3 linked regions of the Rhinolophus ferrumequinum genome follow. The main gene of each other region encodes a partner of the protein of the gene in region 3 in a complex. Links are inferred from orthologs where the notes say so. Each region holds a gene or a part of one and is shown on either strand. Other genes may lie near its edges.

Evidence for each region.
Region 1: AKAP17A (region 3) and C12H9orf78 share a complex: the UniProt entries of both Homo sapiens proteins name them as parts of the spliceosome. The link is inferred for Rhinolophus ferrumequinum from reciprocal best matches to the Homo sapiens genes AKAP17A and C9orf78.
Region 2: AKAP17A (region 3) and PPP1R8 share a complex: the UniProt entries of both Homo sapiens proteins name them as parts of the spliceosome. The link is inferred for Rhinolophus ferrumequinum from reciprocal best matches to the Homo sapiens genes AKAP17A and PPP1R8.

What each region holds. Positions count from the first base shown.
Region 1 is NC_046295.1:78,220,582-78,227,668, forward strand, and holds the start of C12H9orf78 (splicing factor C9orf78 homolog), read right to left. Parts: upstream 3,054-7,087; 5' UTR 3,000-3,053; coding exon 2,917-2,999; intron 2,584-2,916; coding exon 2,524-2,583; intron 1,700-2,523; coding exon 1,648-1,699; intron 1,429-1,647; coding exon 1,358-1,428; intron 840-1,357; coding exon 762-839; intron 1-761. UniProt on the Homo sapiens protein: Plays a role in pre-mRNA splicing by promoting usage of the upstream 3'-splice site at alternative NAGNAG splice sites; these are sites featuring alternative acceptor motifs separated by only a few nucleotides. May also modulate exon inclusion events.
Region 2 is NC_046292.1:19,069,799-19,077,025, reverse strand, and holds the start of PPP1R8 (nuclear inhibitor of protein phosphatase 1), read right to left. Parts: upstream 3,048-7,227; 5' UTR 2,096-3,047; coding exon 2,040-2,095; intron 136-2,039; coding exon 75-135; intron 1-74. UniProt on the Homo sapiens protein: Inhibitor subunit of the major nuclear protein phosphatase-1 (PP-1). It has RNA-binding activity but does not cleave RNA and may target PP-1 to RNA-associated substrates. May also be involved in pre-mRNA splicing.
Region 3 is NC_046284.1:124,073,451-124,081,352, forward strand, and holds the start of AKAP17A (A-kinase anchor protein 17A), read right to left. Parts: upstream 3,032-7,902; 5' UTR 2,885-3,031; intron 1,431-2,884; 5' UTR 1,415-1,430; coding exon 653-1,414; intron 322-652; coding exon 173-321; intron 1-172. UniProt on the Homo sapiens protein: Splice factor regulating alternative splice site selection for certain mRNA precursors. Mediates regulation of pre-mRNA splicing in a PKA-dependent manner.

The sequences.
Region 1 (7,087 bases), on a different chromosome or scaffold from region 3:
GAGAAACCCACAGGTCTCAGGGAGGGGCAGAATGTTCACAACGGGCGTCTTTTAAATTAGTGGTCCCCAACATTGGCCCATGGAGCAGTGATGGTCCATGAAATCTTCATCAGCCCATGGAGAGGTAACAAAAACAAAAGTAACGAGTGTTTTCATGAAGCTAAAATTTGCAACTTAAAAGCACCAACTGATGAGATTATGTCCTACACTCTACTGGCATTATTAAACATAAGGTTCTTCGAAGACAAAAAAATAATTGTACCGTATTTCCCCGAAAATAAGACCTAGCCAGACAATCAGCTCTAACGCATTTTTTGGAGCAAAAATTAATATAAGACCCCGTCTTATAGTAAAATAGGACCGGGTCTTATATAATATAATAAACCCGGTCTTATATTAATTTTTGCTCCAAAAGACGCATTAGAGCTGATTGTCTGGCTAAGTTTTATTTTCGGGGAAACATGATAGGTGGTAGTTGTTTAACAACCTTGTTGGCAAAATAAAAAGTGGGTAGTCTGATGTTTATCTGTGCAATGTTTTAGGGAAATATTACTAGTCAAGGAATCTAAAATCTCAAGAACCACTTCTGAAGAACTTTTAGGCATTTTTCAAAGTTTTCCAGCCTCAGATATGGAGGCAAGAAGGGCCAACTTTGATGTCTTTGGATAATTCTAGAAATGTCATCTGTGACTAAATATCTTGGACTGTATCTGGTTGGAGCCCACCCTCAATTGCTCACAGTCAAACAGACTGACACCTACATGTCAGCGTCCTCGTCCCTTCGGTTGGTTTCTGCAGAAAATGACGTCCCCAGGTGGAGGTCTTCCTCTTCACTAATCCTAAAAGGAGAGGAGAGTGAAGTGGGCCTTCGAGTCACAGCTCAGGCTGAGTTTTATGTTATAGCAATAAGACAAATATGCATGTTTTATCATCCTGTTTATAGTGGGAAAAATATATATAGGATACGTAAATAAAATCAATATATGGAAGTGAACTGCTGGCCTCTGGAGATTCCTCTGGGGAATGAACAGATATTTTATTTTTTACTCGTGTATTGTTTGAATGTGCTATTTTTATAATTGTGCTTTTTTATGTTTCCTTAAAAAAGAAAAATGAAACATCCACATGGGTTTGAAAGACAAAAAAACAATGCACCTTTACAAAAAGAGTGTACCCACATCTCTCTATGCTAACTTTTAAAGAGTTTTTGTGTTCTTTCGTTTTGAAACCCTGCACAAAGCACAAAGGATACTTGAAGATGTCCCGCTAAAGCTACTACTGCAGGCCAGCTCTCTGGGGCACACAGACCCTAGCAGGGATACAGGTGAATCTGTATGTCAGTGTGTTCTGCACTTACTTATCTTTGCCCCTTTCCTTCAGTTTCTTCATGTCCACCATACCGCCTGTCTTCATCTGAAAGGGATCATCCTGCAGAACACAAACACAGCTAAGAGGAAACATCTATATATTAGGTTGCTGAAAAAGTAATTGTGGTTTTTGCAGTTATTTTTAACCTTTTAAACCACATTTACTTTTGCACCAACCTAATACTTGGCAGTGGATTTTTTCTTTTTTTAAAGAAAACACCATCACTCATTGAAGAGCATCCACATCTTCCCACTGCTCACGGAGGACCCCACAACTTACCACTAGAGTGGTCTCTTCTTGTACCTTCTCTCCCACCAGCAGGGCCACAGCACTGAGCAAAACCAAAAAGGGAAGGTGGGTAAAAGGGAAGGAATGGCATAGTTTAGAGATGTGGAAGAACGTTTAGAAAGTTTGTAGGTTGCAACATTAGTGCAAGGGTGAGATCTGAGGGATGGGCGCCAAAGCCAGCTGGAAAAGCCTGCAAGAATGAAATAGGGCTCAACAAGCACTTTAGATGCTGGGGGCGGGGTGAAGGGGTACACTTTCCTATAAAGCCATTTGGCATTATCTTGGCTTGGAAACATCAGTTCTAAGATTTTGCCTTCAGGGAAAATAAAGCTAAAGACAAATGCCGGAAGATAGATATTGCAGCCTTATTTGATGAAAGTTTACAACACAACCTACAGGTCCTCAAATAGGGAATGAGCTAAATTATGGGACATGCATTTGGTGGAATGTTATGCTGCCGTTAAAAAGGTTTTTGGGAAAATAATCCACAATGTGAGTGAATGTCCGCAATGTCATAGAGTTGAAAATAGCATATAAGTACCTACTACCCTTTACAAACCAGAGAAAGAATACAGATCGGAAAGAACATTAAATGATAACACTGGTTACCTCTGGGTGGGAGAATTACATTAATAGGTGCTATTTACTGACCCGTTTCTGCACCTTCAGAGCAAACCTGCAGACCACACCGTGCAGGGCATCTCCTGGTTAAATATTTTCAAAGAATGCTAGACCCCTTTCAGGGCAGTGGAAGGTGTACAGTGTGTCAAGAAAAGGGGCTATGTCTGAGGAGGTATGTGTGACAGCGACCGGGGCAGGGGCGTGTCTGTCATCCCTTGCTCCTCCAGGTTCCCCCGCGGTACCCACCTCACCCCGTTGGGCCGCTTCCTCAAGTTCTGCACCTCTCGAGTCTCTTCCAGTTTTAATCTGAAAAAAGGCAATACGCAGGCTGAGAGACCCTCCGCAGAACTCAAGAGTCAAAAAGCAGCTTCGACCCGTGCCCCAAGCCGCTGCTGAGCCGCGGGCACAGTGGTACGGAAGGCGAACCTGCGCCAAGACCCATCAGATCCACTGCCCATCCCGGAGACAACTCTCCTAACTGCGCGGCCTTGGGGGTGGCGACCACATCACTAGGACCCTCAACTTCTCCCGCGACAACAATCCCGGCTCATAGCAAATACGGTCAACGAGGCTCCTGGCCGGTGGTCCCCAAGTCGGCCTCTCTTTTCCTGCCCCGCGGAAACCCCGCCCCAAACGCACCGAACCTCCTCTGAGTCCTGCTCATCTTCCTCCGACTCCGAGTCGGCCCGGCGCCGGCGGAAAGTCTTCCCGGTCACCGGCATGACCGCGCCAGCCCTGCGGTCCAGCCGCTGCGCCGCTGCGCGAAGGCCTAGTATGCTTCCGGCGCGCAGCAGTGCGGTCAGAGCGCCGGCTCCGCCTGGCCCCGCCCCAAGCCCTACCTGGGCCCGCCCCGCCTGGCACCGCCCACCTGGCCACGCCCCCATTGATGGTGTCGGCGTCTTCCGATTGGGAAGCCAAGGAAGAGAAGGCGGGGCACGGCCAAGCCGGCCCCAGGACCCTGCGCGGCGTAGCGGAGGGCGCGTTTGACTGACAGGCTGAGGCGGCGAGGTAGCGACGGCAGGTGAGTTCCTGGCTGCGGCGGGCTGCTTCGGGGGGCCTGGCCTCTCGGAGCAGGGGCGACCCAATCCCTGTTCCGGGCCGGCGGGGGCCTGGCCCTGCCAAGTGCGCTGGACGCCGCGGCTAGGTGAGCGGAGCCCGGGACCCCCCGGACGCTGTCGCCCATTCCCCTCCTCCGTCCAGCGCCCAGGGGGTCCCTTGTGGTCCCGTCGCCCTACTTCGAGCTCCCGGGGGCTCGCTGCTTCTCCGGGACAGGGGCCGCCATGTCCTTTATTTCTGCCAGGGCCTGATCCAGCGTTGAAAGCACGCATGTGGCATTCGGGGCGCTGACTTATATTTCCCCGGGGTCTGGGCCCTGACGTGTTTTTTTCTCTTTAGGGACAAAAAGATGACCACTTATTAGCGGCGGTGAATTAAAGCCCCAGCGCCGACTGCCCCGCTAATAATGACCTCCAGCCACTTCTCCCCGAGGAGAGGCGCGTCTGATCTTTTGAACCCACTCGGGAGGGTTTTGAGGACAGAGGGCCCCTCCTCGGGTGCTTGCCGGCCGTCTCTCTGGACCTTCGGGGGCCTTGTTTTCGTCCTTTGTCACGCAGACTATCGCTCTACCTTTTGCCCCTTTTACCCCAGGGATGCTGTGAGGATTCAGTTTATTTGAAAAAAGGGCATAAACAAACGCTTAGGAAATAACTCCAGGCATAAATAGTGGCTTTGCTTTCCTCAATCTCGGCTGGTCCTTTCCTTTGACAAAGAATTAGCTGTTATTAAGCACTTACTCTGTGGCAGGTACTGGGCTAAGCATTATCTCATTGAACTCTCCCAACAATCCTATGAAGTAGATTCAGTTATTTTTCACTTTGCAAATGAGGATACCGGGCTTCAAAGAGGCACGTTTTGCAGTGCCTGGCACAGTAAGAGTTCAGTAAATGTTTGCTGAAGCTGCTGTTATTATAGCTCTTTGGCTGAGGGGAGGTACTGGTGGAGACTGTTTGGGGTTCCCTCTTTGGGAAGACCATTCGGAAGCTGGGCAGCATTTATGGAATGCCTTACTTTTCTCTGGAACAGTCTCCTCTGAGGTTGTTGTTCTCTCCCTTGGACTGAGACAAATAGTAGACTCAGGACTTCTTGGAACCTTTTGGCTTTGGTCAAAAGCTGCTCAGTAGCTGCTGTGTGACCTCCAGCCAGTTACACCACCTCTCTGAGCCTCAGTCTTTCCTCTTTTCGTGGTGGAGGTGGAAATGGGTTTAGCTCCCAATGTGGCCATCCCCCAGGGTGGTTATGAGGATTTAGTGAGTTCTCTTAATATCAGTTCCAGGATGCAGGGGCCATTTGGGTGGAGGCAAGGTGGGGAAGGCAAATGAGGAGAACTGGAGATGCGTGGGAAGCAGGACTTGCCAAGGCAGGAGGTGCCTGAGGGTTCTCCTTTGAGAATCAGAAGGATGGTGGACCCTCAGTGAATTAAGACTGGGTTAAAAGAAGGAATGTATTTGGGATTTAGGGAAAATGGAGCTGCGTGGAAGTCTACTGGAGAGAAGAGGGCAGGAGGGAGGGAAAGGGTACATGTTCTGAGGGGCAGAGGGGTGTGGGCGCGGGTGTGTGGGGTGTGGCAGGGCTCATGTGGTGAGGATCAGGGCAGGTGGGTGTCCTTATGTTAATGGGGGGTGTGGCAGTGTCACCTTTCCTGTCCAGAGGAAATTGGCTCCTGGCTGGGAGGACGATGGAGCCAGAACCTCCAGGAAAATGATGAGTAATGGGCACCTGAGGCCTGGTCTCAGCAGCTGGTGCCAGGCCCGGATATGCTGCCTGCCTGCCGCGTCCCTCGGGAGGCACTTTCCTCCTCACTCAGTGAAAGCCCCAGGGAGGGAAAAGTGCCTGTCCTTATTCCGGATGAAGCATCTTGGAAGCCTCACCCGGTCCTTGAATGCACGGGCTCTTTGCCAGACCTGCCATCCTGCCTCCTTTCCTCCTGCTTGTTCATCCCCAAGAGAGGAGGCGGGTCTGGTGGGTCAGGAGGGAGATGTGCTCTGGGATGGGTGTGGAAAAAGCCTAACTCCTTTGGCTGGCGATTTGGGCACCAGCTGTGGGGCGGGCACCGCACAGACTCCCGACAGCACAGTCATCCAGCTGCTCTCGAGAGGTCCTGTTCCCAGCATCCGGTTCTCTGAGGAGTGCAGGTTTCTTCCCCTTTCAGTCTTATGAAACGCCTACTATGTGCACTCCATTTATTTGCACAGAGGGAAGGTTGGGAAGGGCTATGAACGCAGATACACCTGGCTTACTTCTAGCTGTGTCCCTTTCTGTGTGGCTTCCCATCTCGGAGCCTCCATCCTTCCTCTCTAAGATAAGAAATAGTGGTCCTTACCTGAGTGTAGGGGGACCACTGGGCATAGTGCCTGGCTCAGAGTAGGCGCTGGATCCTGGAGCTCTGTTGTGGAGTTAGGGTTACCTTTTCCAAAAGACCCCCTCCCTGCTTCCACCTGAAACAAGAGGAAGGGAATCTTTAAAAAGTTTCTATTTAAAACAAAACAAGGGGGCCAGCCTGGTGGCTCAGGTTGTTGGAGCGCCGTGCTCCTAAGCTGCAGTGGATGGTTCGATTCCCACATGGGCCAGTGAGCTGCGCCCTCTACAGCTAAGATTGTGAACAACGGCTCTCCCTGTACCTGGGCTGCCACGAGCAAGAGGTCCTTGCCATCTGCTATGGGCTGCCCTGGGCTACCATGAGTGGCCGGCGGCCAGCATGAGTGGCTGGTGGCCGGCAGACGGGGAGAGGTGACCGGCGGCCGACTGCATCAGCGGAGGGCGGAGGGGAGCGCAAAGCTTTTAATACCAGCATGTCCCAGGGAGCTGTGTCCTACACACCTAGACTGAGAAACGATGGCTTGAACCAGAGTGTGTGTGTGTGGGGGGGAGGTGAAAGAAGGGGGGGAAAATAAGAAAATAAAAAATAAAACAAAAAAAATCAAACTTACAAGAATAATAATGAAATCCCATTCATACGAGTCACCAATTATTATTTTTGCCGTTTACTCTTCCTATATTTATATGCTCAGAATCATCATCATTATTGCTGATCCATTTAAAAGTAAGTTGCAGATATCATGACCCTTTCCATCTAAATATTTCAGGTGGAATAATCCAAGAACAAGGATATTATAATACACAACCAGAAAACAATTTTCATCTTCAGAAACTTGAATGTTGATATAATACTGTATTCGTGTGCTGGAGCAGTCATAACAAAGTCCCACAGACTGGGTGGCTTAAACATCAGAAATGTATTTTCTCAAAGTTCTGGGGGCTGGAAGTCCAAGGTCAAGGGGTGAACAGATTTGGTTTCTTCTGAGGCCTCTCTCCTGGGCTTGCAGTCAGCTGCCTTCTTGCTGTGTCCTCACGTGGTTTTTCCTCTGTGCATCCTCATGCCTCCTGTGTGTCTAACTTTACTCCTCTTACTATAAGGATATCAGTCAGACTGCATCAAGGTCCACCCTAAAGACTCATTTGAACTTAATTCTTTAAAGACCTTATCTCCAAATAAGATTACATGCTGAGGTATTGAGGGGTAAGGACGTCGTCAACATATACATTTGGGGGAGGGGACACAATTCAGTCCCTAACAAATACTATCTAATATCTAGTCCATATTCAGATTTGTCTGCTGTCCCACTAATGCCCCTTTTTCCCGTTGATCCAGGATCCAAGTTTGTCATATCTCTTGAGTGCCTTTTATCTGAAACAGCTTCTCATCTTGTACTGAGAAAGAAGCAAGTTGCTGGCAGCAGAGGTGCTGGCTGCC
Region 2 (7,227 bases), on a different chromosome or scaffold from region 3:
GGGGTGGAAAAGTGAGTCACTGGCAAAAATCTTTAGTGTGGTGGGAAAAAAAGGGAAGACATGTATTTCCATACCTCAATTAGTTTGTCTCCTTTGACTACATCCAGATGTAAACCAGGTGGGGGTTTACCTGCCCTGAAAAATAAGAGTGAATAAAGCATTTTCAGGCTGAGTTCGTAAACGCCACTTACAACCACTGTCCCATTCAACACTGCAGCTCTCCTATCAGCCTATAATTAGTTCATGTTCAAGCAGAAATGTCATCTATTTCTCTGTTATTACAGCTCCTTTCTAAACTATGACACTTAACTTCCCCAGTGATTCAATTGCTCTAAAACAGATTTTAGTGGATCTGTATTTAGAGCAGCACCAAAGAAACCTATATTTTAATATTGGATAGCTACCTCAGAAAGAAAGCAGCATAGAGAGTGCAAGCACTATTGCTGGGGTAGTCTGCTCACCTGAGTTTGAATCTAAGCTTTGCCACTACCACAAATATCATATAAAGGCTGAATAAATCAGTTAGTGCTTTGGGCTGATCAAGATTAGTTTCATCACAGAATGAGCAAAGGGTATTGTCCTGAGCTCTGAGACCAAATCAGAGGTATATATGCGTAATTAGGGAGCAAGAGTAATCCAATATCATGTGCATGAAACCAAGTACCAATAAATACAAGAGAGAGTTGTTACCTTTGAACAGGTCTTTCTACAATGGCATGTTTAAGGGAACATTTCTCTATACTACTATAACCACAGCATTTAAGGGAGATACACATGTCAAAGCACCTAACACAGTGCCTGGTACATAACAGACTGAGGAAATGGAAGGTGATCTCAAACAGTCTCTTCTAACTATAAGTTTACTGTCCAGGTCCAACTTCTGAAATCAATGCAGCAAGGAATCAAAGTGGACACAAAATCTGTAGAATGAAACAAGTGGGTATTACAAAAGTGCAAAGGGTCCTAGAAAATAGCCACACATTCATTTGCTTCCCGTGTTTGTTCCTTTGAAGTTTGAAGGGGAAAAAAAAAGAACAATCTTGCCAGAGTCCTTACATGTGCATAAAATGTATCCATCCATCTAATTGAAGATGCAATATAGTCAACTCACAATCCTGCCCCAACTCCTGTATGGCAGTTGTTGAAAGGACAGGGCATTGGACAAAAGCCCATTTTGCCCGGGGAAACAGGGATAGCAATGTTACATCCAAAACATCTTTTCTGAACTCCTACTATGTGCCTGTCTTAGGCCTAGGAGCTGTAAATATAAAGATGCATCAGACAGCCCTTGCCCTTGAGGATCTCAATATAACGGGAGGCAGAGAAGAGTAACTCATAAATACACTGTGATGAGTTACTGCAGAAATAGCTCTAACTCAGATGGGTCTCCTTACAAGGCAATTCATAATTATTCATCCTGTACCCTACTTAAAGACTACATTAAATTATTCCATTATTTCCAAGATCTTGAGAAAGGATGAAAGGGGTTCATTCCAACAATTACTGATGCCCACTTGTGCCCGGCTTCGCGCTGGTTGCTGAGAATGCAGGGTATGTCAGAGCCGTGCCTGCCCTCAGGAAGCTCCCAGTCTGCGAGCGACAAACAAGTATTGGATCAGGGATGCAGCACAACAGAGGGATGCCGGGATCTGAGACTGGGCTGAGGCCGGGAAGCTAGCTCGTGCGCGCTCGGGACAAGAGAACAGGGCAGGCACGGTGCTCCACAAGAGCACTAGACATTCAGTCAGGAGTTGGGGTAAGTTCAGGGCCACGGCCCAAAGCGCCACGGCAACCGGCTGATTGCCCAAGGGACTGCCTAAGCGAGCGCCTCAGAGCCCTCAACTCTGGGTTTCCTCAGTGCCTGGGCCCGGGCTCCAGGCTCCCGGTTCCTCCACACGCCGCCCGGCCCGACGGGCAGTTCTCCCTCAATCAGTCCCCCGATCTCTGAGCTGTTCAGCTCGCTGCGAAAAATGAGCCGCCCAGCCAGCCCAAGCCAGTCCAGGCCAGGCCACTCCAGCTCTGGTCGTCCCGCCACTCACCAAGTCGGGCAATCGAACAGCGGGAGGCTGGAGCCGGAGTTCGCGGCTGCCGCCATCTTGCGTCTCCCCCTCCCATTTGGCGGGCCCGAAGCATGCCGGGAAACTGGAAGACCAAGAGGAGATGGTATCCCAGGGGTCTGTGCGAGCGCGCGCCCGTGCGCGCGCACGCGTCTTCACTCGCACATACTGGGCGAGACTAGTAGTGGCGGTAGAGACTAGAATGTGGTTTTGAGGTCTTTTTCAGTGTTTGAGACTGTTGGCCTTCTCTGGAAGAATCTCCGGAGGCTAGGGCTTTCCTTGGCCGGGAGGTGTTTGAGGAAAAGGAGCTTGTGAAAGGGAGTATCGGTCTCTTACGTCCTCCTTACAGACTCGCTTCTGGGCTCTTAAATCTTGCGGCTCCTCCATCCATGCTGCAGGCTTACACCCGAGCTCAGAGATTGGAGTGATCACTCATTCTGTTTCTGATCTTTTGGTCCTACTCCGCAGAGCTGCTTGTACCCCACTTACTTCCCCTTCCTAATCCAAATCTGGGCCTTGAGGGCTACTGTAGATCATTTGGAAATCTAGTCTGTTTATGAAAACTCTGGACAAGCTGGAGCCAGGTAAGGATCCACTCAAGGCAGGCATCCAAATCTTTAATGTGTATGAATGTAATGGTTAAATTGTGACCCCTTTGACTTTTTAAATATTGGTGATGGTGACTAGATCGTGAAAGGAAGCATTAGGATTCAGGCCTGCCCTAGGCCAACAGCTGGCTTTATCTTCTGGGTGCTGAATTCTCTGGGCAAGTTTGTATATGGATTTAATCCTCACAACACTCTTGAGATAGATATTGTGATCCCTAAGGGGAAGCTCAGAGAGATTGAGTTGTCCAGGCTCACCCTAGGAGTGGTGAGTGGGATTCAAACCTAAATTTGTACGATGCCAAAGGCCATGCTCTTTAATCACCACTGTCTCTCACATTTAGATGTTAGTACAAACATATTTATCATCATGCAACTGATGCTCAAGACTTTTTACTTCTGTAGAAAACCTGGATTATCTGACCTGCTTTTTCCTTTTTTTAAAGAAACTAATTGCAAAATTACTGTTCACCCAGAAAAAGGCACTGCACAGCAAGTTACGTCTTTCTGTGATGTTTTTCTTGATTCCTGTTACTGGTCCTGTTGATTTTAAATTTGAACATCAGCCTGTTCAAAAGATTTTGCCCTTAATGACATCTCCAGGGATCAAAATTTAACTGCAACATATTAGGTTGGTGCAAAAGTAATTGCAGTTTAAAATGTTAAAAATAATTGCCAAAACCGCAATTACTTTTGCACCAACCTAACAACTTGGATTTTAAAATGATCAATTCTTAGGCAGGTAGGAGAATCACCTTTTCCTCTAGCCTTTAAAAGCACAATAAACTCACCTACCAAGGATGTTAACTGATCAGATGACTTATCAAAGGACCAGTTAATATCTCCTTTCCAGTCTTGATTCCAAAGACTAGGCTGATGAGGAAAATACAAATTCTAAACTTGGTTTCAAGAAAACAGGCAATGACTCCCTCCTTTGAGCACAAGGACGTGATTCTTGAGAAGGCATTCAATAGTCTCAAAAGTGTTTTAAGTGTAATAGAAAAGAATAAGGTACTTTTATCTACAGAGATTGTGCAAGCCTTTGAGGTTCCATGCCCCTTTCAGGCATGAGGTGGTCTTGAAGCCATTTCTAGCTATGAGTGACCTGGTAACATGTCAACTTTGCCTTTCAACTTCTCAGCTTCTGTGTGTGGTCCATGATTTAATCCTTTCTATTGCTAACTATACACCCAAGAAACCTAAAGCTATATTCTTACCCTTAAATTCTTTACTCCTTGGCCATGTTCCCTTTCCAGCACAGCTGATATTCACACTGGCTTGTGATGTAATGACACCTTACACTTACCTAGACCTTTTAAAGCAAAATGCTCTTTGTGTGGGCGCCAATGATGTCAGTATAGACTAGCAAACTGGAGGACAGCTGTCTAGGCCCTTCATCTTTTGAAATGGGAAGACTGATGGTCTAGCTGCCTTTGGATTTTGGTATCTCAACAAAGACAGATTAATTTCTTAGACATTGGCACTTCCATAGAATAGAACCTAAAAACATCAGGAGCATACTGATGTCAGAAAACTTTCTTAAAACATCTTTGATATATGAGTGATCAAGTGGAGACACTAAAACAACAAAAGTGTGTGTACAGATAGTACAAGCAGGAGGCTTCATTTAACAAGTGTGTTTACAGATAGGACGTTAATGAAAAGTTCACAAGGTACTAATGAAATAAAAGATGTTCATGACAAGTTGGATAGAAATTACTGTTACTCCAGATTTTTAGAGAAAGCTTCATGAAAGAGGTGGTGAGCAGGATAGTTTGTATTAGGGCTGCATGGAGACTAACAGTGTTTAGCATCTAAAGGTGTGGTTTTGAAGTCTGAGTGCTTGAGATCAAATCCTGGCTCCATCACTCCTAAATTACTTACTTGCCTCGCTTCCCTAATCCATAAAAAGAGGACAAGAAACATGTATCTCCTAGATGGTTTTGTGGGCATAACAAATGTAAAATGTGAAACAGTTAACATTTAGCATAGTAAATTGCTGGTATCAAGAGCTCAAATATTACCCCACAGATAATCATTCACATGTAGAGCATTTCCTCAAGCCTTTGAATTCCTGTAATAGACTGCCATTCCTGGCCTCAACTTCTTCAGTTGTAGGTGATGGGGCTAGTCTAGATGAGTGGTTGACAGACATCAGAGATGTCATGGACCAGGAAAAAAATACAGGAATATCAACTTTTGTTTTGCCAACTAAGGAGATTTAAAAATGAAGACTGCCATCTAACATCACCACCTTTCCATTTTTACCATCTTTCAATATCCTTTTTAAAAAGTTGGAGGAGGTCATTAGTTGAGCCTCAAAGGTGGTACTTTTAAAAAGCCCACTACATCCTTTTCCTCATTTCTCCATGGACTGGTAAAAACTTGGTCCTTAATCACAGTCCAACATTAAAAATTCTATTATTTCAAGTTTATCTTTAAAAATTAAGTGCTACATTGTCAATCAAATTTCATTTTGGGTAAGTATTAAAATGAACTACTCAGTTGGCCTAAAAGTTAAGATCAGGGGTTGGGAATCAAAACCTTTCAAACTAGTTCCTGGTTAACTGGAGATTCTAAACTAGTTGTGTTTTGTAACACTAGAAGTCAATACTGAAAAATTCTTTTAAACCTAGGGATACACTAAACATGCTTTATACAGCCCAAAGGAAACAGGTGATTCCTACTCCTAAGAAACAGGATAGACTGAAATCTGAGTTGGGTTCTGGTCTGCATTTAGTGACCAAAAGCAAAAGTTTCATTTCTATGATTGAGGACAGCCTCTGAACAGACGAAAAACAAAACAGAACTGAATGGAGGCGGCTCAGCATGTTTTACTTTGCACTGACTAAATGGTAATTTCCTTTTGATATTTTTGCCCAATGGTACAATGCAGTGTATCACCACCCCTTAGCAAAATCAAACAAAACAAACCTACCCTGGGAGCATCAGTCTAGCAGCTGGTAAGTTCTTGTTCTGGAACATTCCCAGATGAAGTAGCCAGCCTGACATTTGTACTTTGCCCTATACAGTACTACAGTTTTAATCCACTTGAAGAGAGAATACTGGATCTGTCCAATACTTCTAGAACATTCCATAAAGGAAGGAGAAAAGAGGAAGACGAAAGGGATACAGAGGCAAACATAGAATTTCTATGTTCAGACCAAACCCCTGTGGCTTTTAAAATCAGAGAATTTCACAGCTAGAATAGAGCTATTGAGAAAATTTGGGGCCTGTGGGTTAAATGACTTGCCCAAATACCTACAGCAAGTTAATGGCAGAGCTAAGATTCTTCAGGCCTTCTGTAACCCATGCTTGTTTTCTGACCTCCAAAACAGTTCTCAACCATGGTTACACAGGAGAATTATCTGAAGCTTTTAAAAGTCCATATGCCGAGGCTATATTCAAAACAAACTAAATTAGAATTTTGTGGCAGGAGCACCCAGGTATCAGTCTTTTTTGTTTCTAATGTGAAGCCATGGTTAAGAACCACTGTCCTATACCATGATTCCCCCAATGAACAAAACACAAATAAGGAGGATTCTATGAACCGGTTTATTAGGACCATCTACCATAACCTTTCGGCACTGCCACAAATTCCAGGCCATTCAAATTCTAGGCCAAGGTCATATTTGCTACCTGTGACCACTATTACCACCACCATTGGACCACTACGTATGTAGTACTAAATAAACAGAATTATGGTGGCTTCATTTTACCCAAACTGAAATAGTTTTTCACCAGACTTTCTTGCCTAGAATGTTACAAATGATGTATCCAAGTCCAGCTGTAATTTGGAGCAGAAAGGACAATGATCGTAGAGCCAAGGAATAAGCTCTAAAGCTGCTGCTGGGGCCACTGTGACACCCCAATAGCTCCATCCTGGTTTTCAAGGAAGGGGCTGCAGCAGCACCTGTTCCACCCCCAAACCAATCCTCACTTGATCTCTAGTCTTCTTGCAGGTCTCAGTTTTTCTCAGAATAGCACATTACCTGATATCTACCACATTAGGATGTTAACTGATAAAAACAGACTACAAAAGCTTCTAAAATGTTTATTTTTATTAAGTGGGTAGAATGGTGTGAGAGTGCAAAGAAACTTACACATTTGGGCCCTTGTTTCCCTACTGTTCACATTAGTATAGTAAAAGATCAAGTAACATTAAAGGATTAAAGGGAATAGAAGAAATTAATATAAATATATCCAGGGTAGCCAAATCTTCTAATTCACTAAAGGATGAACTGAAATTGTTGGCCCAATTCACATCTATGTGAGAGCCTAAAAAAATTACACTCCCTTTAACTGCTCTAGCCTTGTGAAAAAGGGAGGTGGACAACATTTATATTACAAGACAACAATCTTTTATTGAAACATTTCTTATCTAAAACTATGCATGGAGAGATTAATTTCTTGTTCATAAATTAAGATGTCTAACATCACTATTCCAAACCAGTATTATTTACAAAAATGAACCTTTGCTTTGCTTTATTGCTAGGTTCACAGAACTAAATTTTAAACCAACTTCAGTCTAGCTTTTAAAATCTTCCTGCCATTAAATGCCCAGC
Region 3 (7,902 bases):
TGCACGCACACACACATCCCACAAGCACACACATGGACACACACGTGCATGTGCACATGCAGACGCGCACACACATGGACGCACACACATGCATGCACACACGCACGCACAGACACATCCCACCAGCACACACGTGCACACACGCGCGCAGGGCCCCGCCTCCCCGCCGCACCTCTCCTCGGCCCTCTGCCGCTCCTCCGCCTCCTTCTCTCGGCGCTTCTGCTCCCGCCTCTGCTGCTCCAGCTCCTGAAGCTTCTGCCTCTCCAGCTGCCGCTTCTTGATGGACGCGTCACTCAGGTGTTTGGTGGAATCAAAGGACACCTGCGGGTGGACACAGGGCACGGCGGCATGAGGTGGCCGCGTTTGCGGACACGTGCCTCGCCTCTCCGTGTGCTGACAAGAACCAAGTCGCCCCCTTCACAAGACGGCTGCCCCTCCCGCTCCCCAGGGCCCCAGCAGTTCCCCGGCCGACCCCGCCGCCACCGCCGCCGCCCTGGGCCCTGTGCCGGCGCCACCGGGTGGCCAGCCGAGGGTCAGAGGCCGGCTCTGTCCGAGGCTGGCGGCCTCGTCGCCGCACGGGAACCCAGGGAGAGCCCGCGGGGCTGAAGCACCCGGCCCGCCGCCCGCCGCCCGCCTCCGGGGGGGCCAGCACCTTGATGTTGCAGGCCACGGCCTTGCCGTCCTCGCCCTTGTACATGAGCTTCATCCCGCGCAGGGCGCTCATGGCCTGGATGAAGCCCGCGTACTCGCGGTACTGCACGTAGGCCTCGAAGTTCAGGTGCCCCCCGAAGCTGAAGGTGTGGAAGTTGCGCCCCGTCATCTCCTCCCGGTAGGGGTCCAGCATGGGGATGTCCACGTTGCGGATGTCCCCGAACTTCTCGAACACCCTGACCAGCACGTCCTCGCTGGGCTTCTCGGAGCCCGCGTCCCGCGGGGCGAACCACTTGCAGGGCAGCCCCTCCAGGTGGATGGTGTCCGGACGCTCCCCCGGCAGCGTCTCGTTCATGTCCTTGGCGTCGCGGAAGAAGGAGTCCCAGTCGTGCCGCGTGGGGAAGTCGATCTTGAACTCGGCGGCGCGGACCCGCAGGGTGTCGGAGAAGCCGCTGAGCTTGATGGTCTTGCCGTCCAGGCAGGCCAGGAAGGCCTTCACCAGGCTCTTGTTCTCCACCTCGCCCTCGAAGCGGATGAAGTCCATGGTGCTCTTCGTGATCCGCAGCGTGGAGAACTGGTGGCTGTGCACCATGGCCTTCAGCCGCTCCATCACCTCCCAGTTGGAGATGGACTTGCCCGGCTGCTTCAGCTGCGGCAGCGCCACGCTGATGGTCATCTTGGTGATGGGCTTGAGGTACAGGCCGAACGCGGGGCACAGCTCCACCGCCTCAGACGTGTCGTGCACGATGGTGGCCGCGGCCATAGCCGGGACCTGGGGCCTGAAACGCAGACGCACACAGTCAGGGCCGGGCGCCCGGGCCGCCCAGCGCGCGAGGCTGCTTCTGTGCCTCGTGGGAAAACGGGGGCTCCACCTGCTGGAAGCCCTCATCACCTGAGATGGCTCTGTCCTGAAACCATCAGGTGACGCCAAAGGGGAAAAGAACTGGGTGGACAAAAGCTTTTACGCGCCCTGCACCCGGCACCCAGAAGCAGCCCTCCCGGGGCCAGAGCCCAGCGGGCTGGCTCCCACCCTCTGTGCAGCGGGAAGACGCAGGCGAGACCCCGCCTAGCTCCCTGGAGGGAGGTGCAGACAGGTCGTGGGGAAACCACAGGCAGGAGGCCGCTCAGGCACCTGGAAGACTGTGTAGCAGGTGGCCTGGCATTTGCCCTGGTCAAACAGGAAGGTTCACGGTGAAGACACTGCAAGCCTGTCTCTGCCCTACTTCACGTGAAAAGTGCCCGTCTTTCCCCAGCTGGGGGCTGGGAGCCATGGGCACCCTCTCCCTCCCCTCACTGCCCTACTGGTCTTCCCTGCTGGTCCCCACAAGTTCCCGGAGGGCAGGTTCCAGCCGTGACCTTAACACCACGCACCCAAACAACACAGGTGGCCCATCCAGCCATTGCCCGCCAGCTCAGGTGGGAGGTTTCCCGACAGGCCCCAAGGCAGGAGGCTCTGAACCGCGTGGAAGAGCCACCTGCGTGGACGAGGGGCTGCGGCCCAGGCTGAGACCCCAGACCTCCCCCAGAACTGCCCCCGCCAGGACCCTCCCTCTGGTGGCCTGGCTACCCCTGTGCCCCACCCCCACCCCCGAGGGCCCGGCTGCCTCTGGTAGCCCAGGCGCCCCCAGGCCCCGGGGTTCAGCCCCCACACCTCCACCCCACGCAGCTGCCTCTGGGGCTTCGCTGTGTCCCCCTAACTGCCCCCTGTCCCCCAGGTACACCGCCATTACCCTGGGTACCCCAGATTTCCAGCCCTCATTAGAGCCCCGGTTGGCCTGGCCTCTAGCACCGATCCCCTCATAAAGGTTGGCTCCCCGTAACCCTCGGTCTCCATGGTAACCCCCAGGCTCCGGGCCTTCCTAGGCCACCCCTGGTACTGCCCCCACCTCAGACCCAGGGCCCCGACCCACGGTACTCCCCGCCCCCGGTATCCCCCGGCCCCCTCAGTGCCCCCGTGTCCCCCAGTATCCCCGGCCCCCGGGATCCCCCCGGCCCCCCAGTGCCCCCGGCCCCCGGGATCCCCCGGCCCCCCAGTGCCCCCGGCCCCCGTGTCCCCCGGCCCCCCAGTGCCCCCGGCCCCCGTGTCCCCCGGCCCCCCAGTGCCCCCGGCCCCCGGGATCCCCCGGCCCCCCAGCGCCCCCGGCCCCCGCAGGCCCCGGCCCCGCACCACCCCCGGACCCGGACCCCGACCCCGGCCGGCTCCCGGAGGCAAGCGGTTGCGGGCGGTGCTCACCGGCGCGGGACTCCTCCTGTGTCCCCCGCCGCCGCCGCCGCCCTGGCCCCAGTTCGCCGCGGTCCCCCGACGACCCCGGCAGGAGCAGCCTCCCCCCCCGAGACCCCCCGATGCGCCCCGCCGCCGCCCGCCGCTGTGACGCACTTCCGCTTCCGGTGTGCGGGCCCGCGGAAGCGGCCGCGCGGCGGCTGCCGGTTTCTCCTCCCGGCCCTGGCCCCGCCCCTAGGGCGGGACTTCCGGGGGCCCAGGGCGAGGGCGGGCCGACCTCTGCTGTGCACTGCGCGTGCGCGAGCTCGCCCTGCCCCCCACGCCGCTACCTGTGCGCAGGTCGCAGGTCCAGGCCGAGGCCGCACCTGGGCCACGGTGGGCGCTCGACGATCAGGAGCGGTGCCTGGTGTTTGCGCCTAAATTGTTATGATAACCATGCATAATCTACTAATATAAGTTAACTGTAAATTACGATCGAATCAAGCATTCATTTATTGTATTTACTGTACACATTAATTCACATCACAGGTACCATAGTTATATAATTCAATGATAAATTATGCATTTCTCTCATCAAGCACTTATTAATAACTTAATTACTTAGTTATGTATATTGATGTCTAGATTGGAGGCTTCCTTCCAGGGGCGGTTATGTGCTTATGTAAACATGTAATACAAATATGTAATATTTTAATATTTTCAATGGTTTATGTTTCATACTTTACATGACACTTATTTTAATAACGAAATTGAAATGCAACTCTATTTTGCATGTATTTTCACGTCACTTTATACATCATTATAGTATTTTTTACAGAATCGTATGCTTATATGATTATGTAATTAGAAATTTGCACGTTACAATGTATGAGGCTCCCATACTATGGCAGATGGTGAACAAGCCGTGGGCTTCGGATGCCCCAACCATGTCCAAGCCCCCACCCTGAAAATCCAGGGTCGGAAAACAAGAGGGAACCCTCCGTTGTTCAACATAGTTTGCCAACCCATCAGCGTTAGAGGGGCCAGGGGACTGAAGGGACCCCAACTACCAATGGAGTTTTCAATAGGAAGGGGTTCCTGCATAATTTCTGGGTGTCTGCTATGTGTGGGTCGTGTTGTCCTGTCCACACACCGTCCCTAGAGGCAAGTATGACCGTGCTCTCCACGTGAGAAGGAGCAAAGGGAGGGTGCAGGCTCCCCCAGGAAGGTGGCCCAGGCTTTGAACCCAGGCAGGCTTCCTCACTGTCTTCATGTACCTTCTTGTTCTTCTTGGGAAGACAGAGAGGTCTGGTGTTCTCTTTAAAACCGTCCTCTCCGAGGCTGCTTGCGCGTTTGTTTCCCTGGGGAACGGTTCAGTTTGAAAGCGATGTTTCCACTCTGCTCTCTGAGACATTCGCAAAGCACATGAAGAAGGAAGACACGCAGTCCTTCGGAACCGGCAAGCCCAAGAGGGGATTACAGTACTTGGGGAAATGTTCCAGGAAATTCCTGCTCCAGTCTTTAGCAAGGTACCCCTCCTCTGGCTGCACCTCAGAAATAGAAAAACAAAGTTCCAGGTTAGCTGCAGCCATGATCCTTGGTCCCAATGCGGTAAGTGGATGGCTGTAGAAACCACTCTCGTGGACGATCGACAGGAACTGGGCACATGATGGGACGTCACTCCCAGGATTATATGGGAAAGGTCAAGGAATTTTGCGGTTGTAATTAAAGTGCCTAATCAATGGATTCAAGCGAATTAAAAGGGAAGTTATTCAGGGTGAGCCGGGCACAATCAGGTGCAGAAGTCAGAGTTAAGAAGTCAGAGAGATTTGAAGCAGCAGCCACACAGCTGGTTGCCTTATGGAGACGATCACTTAGCAGGAGATCTCCTTAGCAGGGCTCCTGAGAGATGAAGGCCTCAATGCTACCACGGAAGGAATTGGGTTCTTCCAACAACCAGGGATCCTAGAAGAGCCCTCCCTCCCCCCACCGAGCCTCGAGTGAGAGCCTGGGGCTGGCTGACGCCTTGATGTGAACCTGGTCAGTCCTCCAGCAGAGGATGCAATTAGCCTGCGCCTGGACTCCTGACGTGCGGAAACTGGGGGCTGCTAAGTGTGTTGTTGGCAGCTGCTCCGTTTATCATCACTTGGTGCACATAAATCCACAACCAATGCATCTGGAGAAAACGTGTGGGTCCTAAGCCCTCATTAACCGCAGAAAATGGTGCCTCTTCACCCCACGCAGAAAAAAGACATTCTCTCTGTGCTGAAATAAGCAGCACTTTTGTCATCGTGACTGTGTTAGTCTCCTGGGGCTGCTGTAATGCAATACCAGAGACTGGGGCTTAAACAACAGAACTGTATCCCCCAACAGTTCTGGAATCTAGCTGTCAGCAGGGCTGGTTCCTTCCGAGGGCGAAGGAAGGAGCTGCTCCAGGCCTCTCTCCAGCTTCTGGAGCTTTGCTGGCAATCTTCGGCGTCCACCTTCACACGGCTGTCGTCCCTCTGTGTGTGTATCTGTCTCTTCCCTCTTCTTAGAAGGACACCCGACACGTTGAAGGACAGCTCCCCCTACTCCACTCTGACCTCATCTTCAAGGACCTAACGACCACTGACACAGAGGTCCCGGGTTCCAAGCCAGATGTCGGCACTCAGTGAGGCCTGGTGAGAACTGGGACCAGCGAACGGACGCCTACTTCTGAACCCAGAGCAGATCCAATTCTGGCTGCCCTCTAGAGTGAGACACTTCCCTCCAGGGTAGACACCTTCCCCAGGGTGTCGGCATTCCTTCCACTTTCACTGAGATTCAGAGACTGTTCATCTACTCCTACAAGAAAAATGCCTGAGGATGTAAGTGTGTGGATCACTAAATGCGTGCATATATGCATGTCTATCTACCTATCTATCTATCTATCTATCCATCCAGCAATATAGCTGTCTGTCTGGTTATCTATCCATCCACCTATATATCCATTCACATACCCATCCAGCTACCCGTCCATCCATCCATCCCTCCACCCACCCACCCTAATCCATCTGTCCATTCATCCGCTCACCCACCCACCCATCCCTCCATCCATCCTCTACCCACCCACTTACCACCTCTCCACCCAGCCCTCCCTCCCTCCATCCATACACCTCAGACATATTAATATTAAACATGCCTCTCAAACCTAAACAACTCACTTCCGCCAGGGGGCGCGCCCACCAATGTAATGAACCCCAGAGGGAGCTGCCTGGTTATCCCTGTGGTAGGGTCCGGAAGCCAAGGTCTTCAGGGTTCCTTAACCCGTCCGTCATCTGTCCTCAGCAAAGACATCAGCCCAGTGGTTTTCCCACGAACGTTACCCTCCTTAGGACACCAGCCCTTTGCAACGCATTCTCTTATCAGGTAGTTCTTTATCTACCCCAGGACTTTTAATGCACCATGTGCCTAAGTTCTGAGCAGCACGATCCAAAGAAAAGTGTGTCACGTGGGCCTTGAGGGAGCCACACCAGGACTTGGAGACAGTCTCCTCTGCTGGTGCGGCATGTGTTCATTAGCCTGATTTTCTAAAGGAAATTCCACACAGCCTACTAGTTACCATTTTTGCTGTGCCCACATTCTGTCTCACTTGGTAATGCCAGTGCTGGTAAGTCACCCTATAGAATTATTGCCCAGTTATACAAAGGTCTATGTGTAAGTTACATTGCACAATAAAATACATACAGGTATTTGTGCAATATATATGTGTGTGTGTGTGTGTGTGTGTGTTCAGAGACTGTTAATCTGTTTATATATATTATATATATATATATATACAATATATATATTCAGAGACTGTTAATATATATATACTGCTATGCAGATATACAAGGCATATGTATAATTAATGCTTTTGGCAGCATTGGAGATGGCAGGAAGATAATGTGTTGCAGGTGTGCTAAAGCCCCACTGTTGTGATGAAAGGGTGTTCAAAGGTAATTTTAGAGTGTGGGACTAGCAGGTTGGGTCCACAGGCTGCAGCGCTGTAGAAGATGGATAAAGGAGACATGGGGTGGGGACAAAGGACTAGCAGCTAAGGCGACAGTATCCACCCACCACCCACCATCCATCCATCCATCATCCTTCTATTCATTCATCCATCATCCATCCATCCATCTATCCATCCATCATCCTTCTATTCATTCATCCATCCATCCATCCATCCATCATCCACCATCCATCCATCCATCCATCATCCATCTATTCATTCATCCATCATCCATCCATCCATCCATCCATCCATCCATCCATCATCCACCATCCATCCATCCATCCATCATCCATCCATCCATCCATCCATCCATCATCCACCATCCATCCATCCATCCATCATCCATCTATTCATTCATCCATCATCCATCCATCCATCCATCCATCCACCCATCATGCACCCATCCATCCGTCATCCATCCATCCATCCATACATCCATCCCTCCATCCATCATCCATCTATTCATTCATCCATCATATCCATCCATCCATCCATCATCCATCCATCCATCATCCATCCATCCATCCATCATCCATCCATCCATCCATTTATCCACCATCCATCCATCCATCCATCATCCATCCATCCATCCATCCATCATCCATCCATCCATCCATTTATGCACCATCCATCATCTATCCATCCATCATCCATCCATCAATCATCCATCCATTCATCATCCATCCATCCATCCATCCATCATCCATCCATCCATCCGTCATCCATCCATCCCCCCATCCAGCCTGCCAGCCAGCATCCAGGTGTGACAACATGCCTGGAACCCTGCCCCCAGAGAAGCTCACCTGAGCCTCAGTGCCTGGTTTTTACTGGAACTCCACCACAGCCTGTCCCTGTGGCCGCCCCTCAGTCTCCAGCCCCTCGCAGGGGTTCTAGATAGTACCTTTAGTCTCCATCCACTCTTGGAACTGACACAGGACGTTCCAGAGCCCCCATCAGAAATCACATAACGAAACTGTCCAGTGGCCAAAGCCAGGACACCCTTATCAAGCAGGACACTGCAGGGACCTGCAGACCC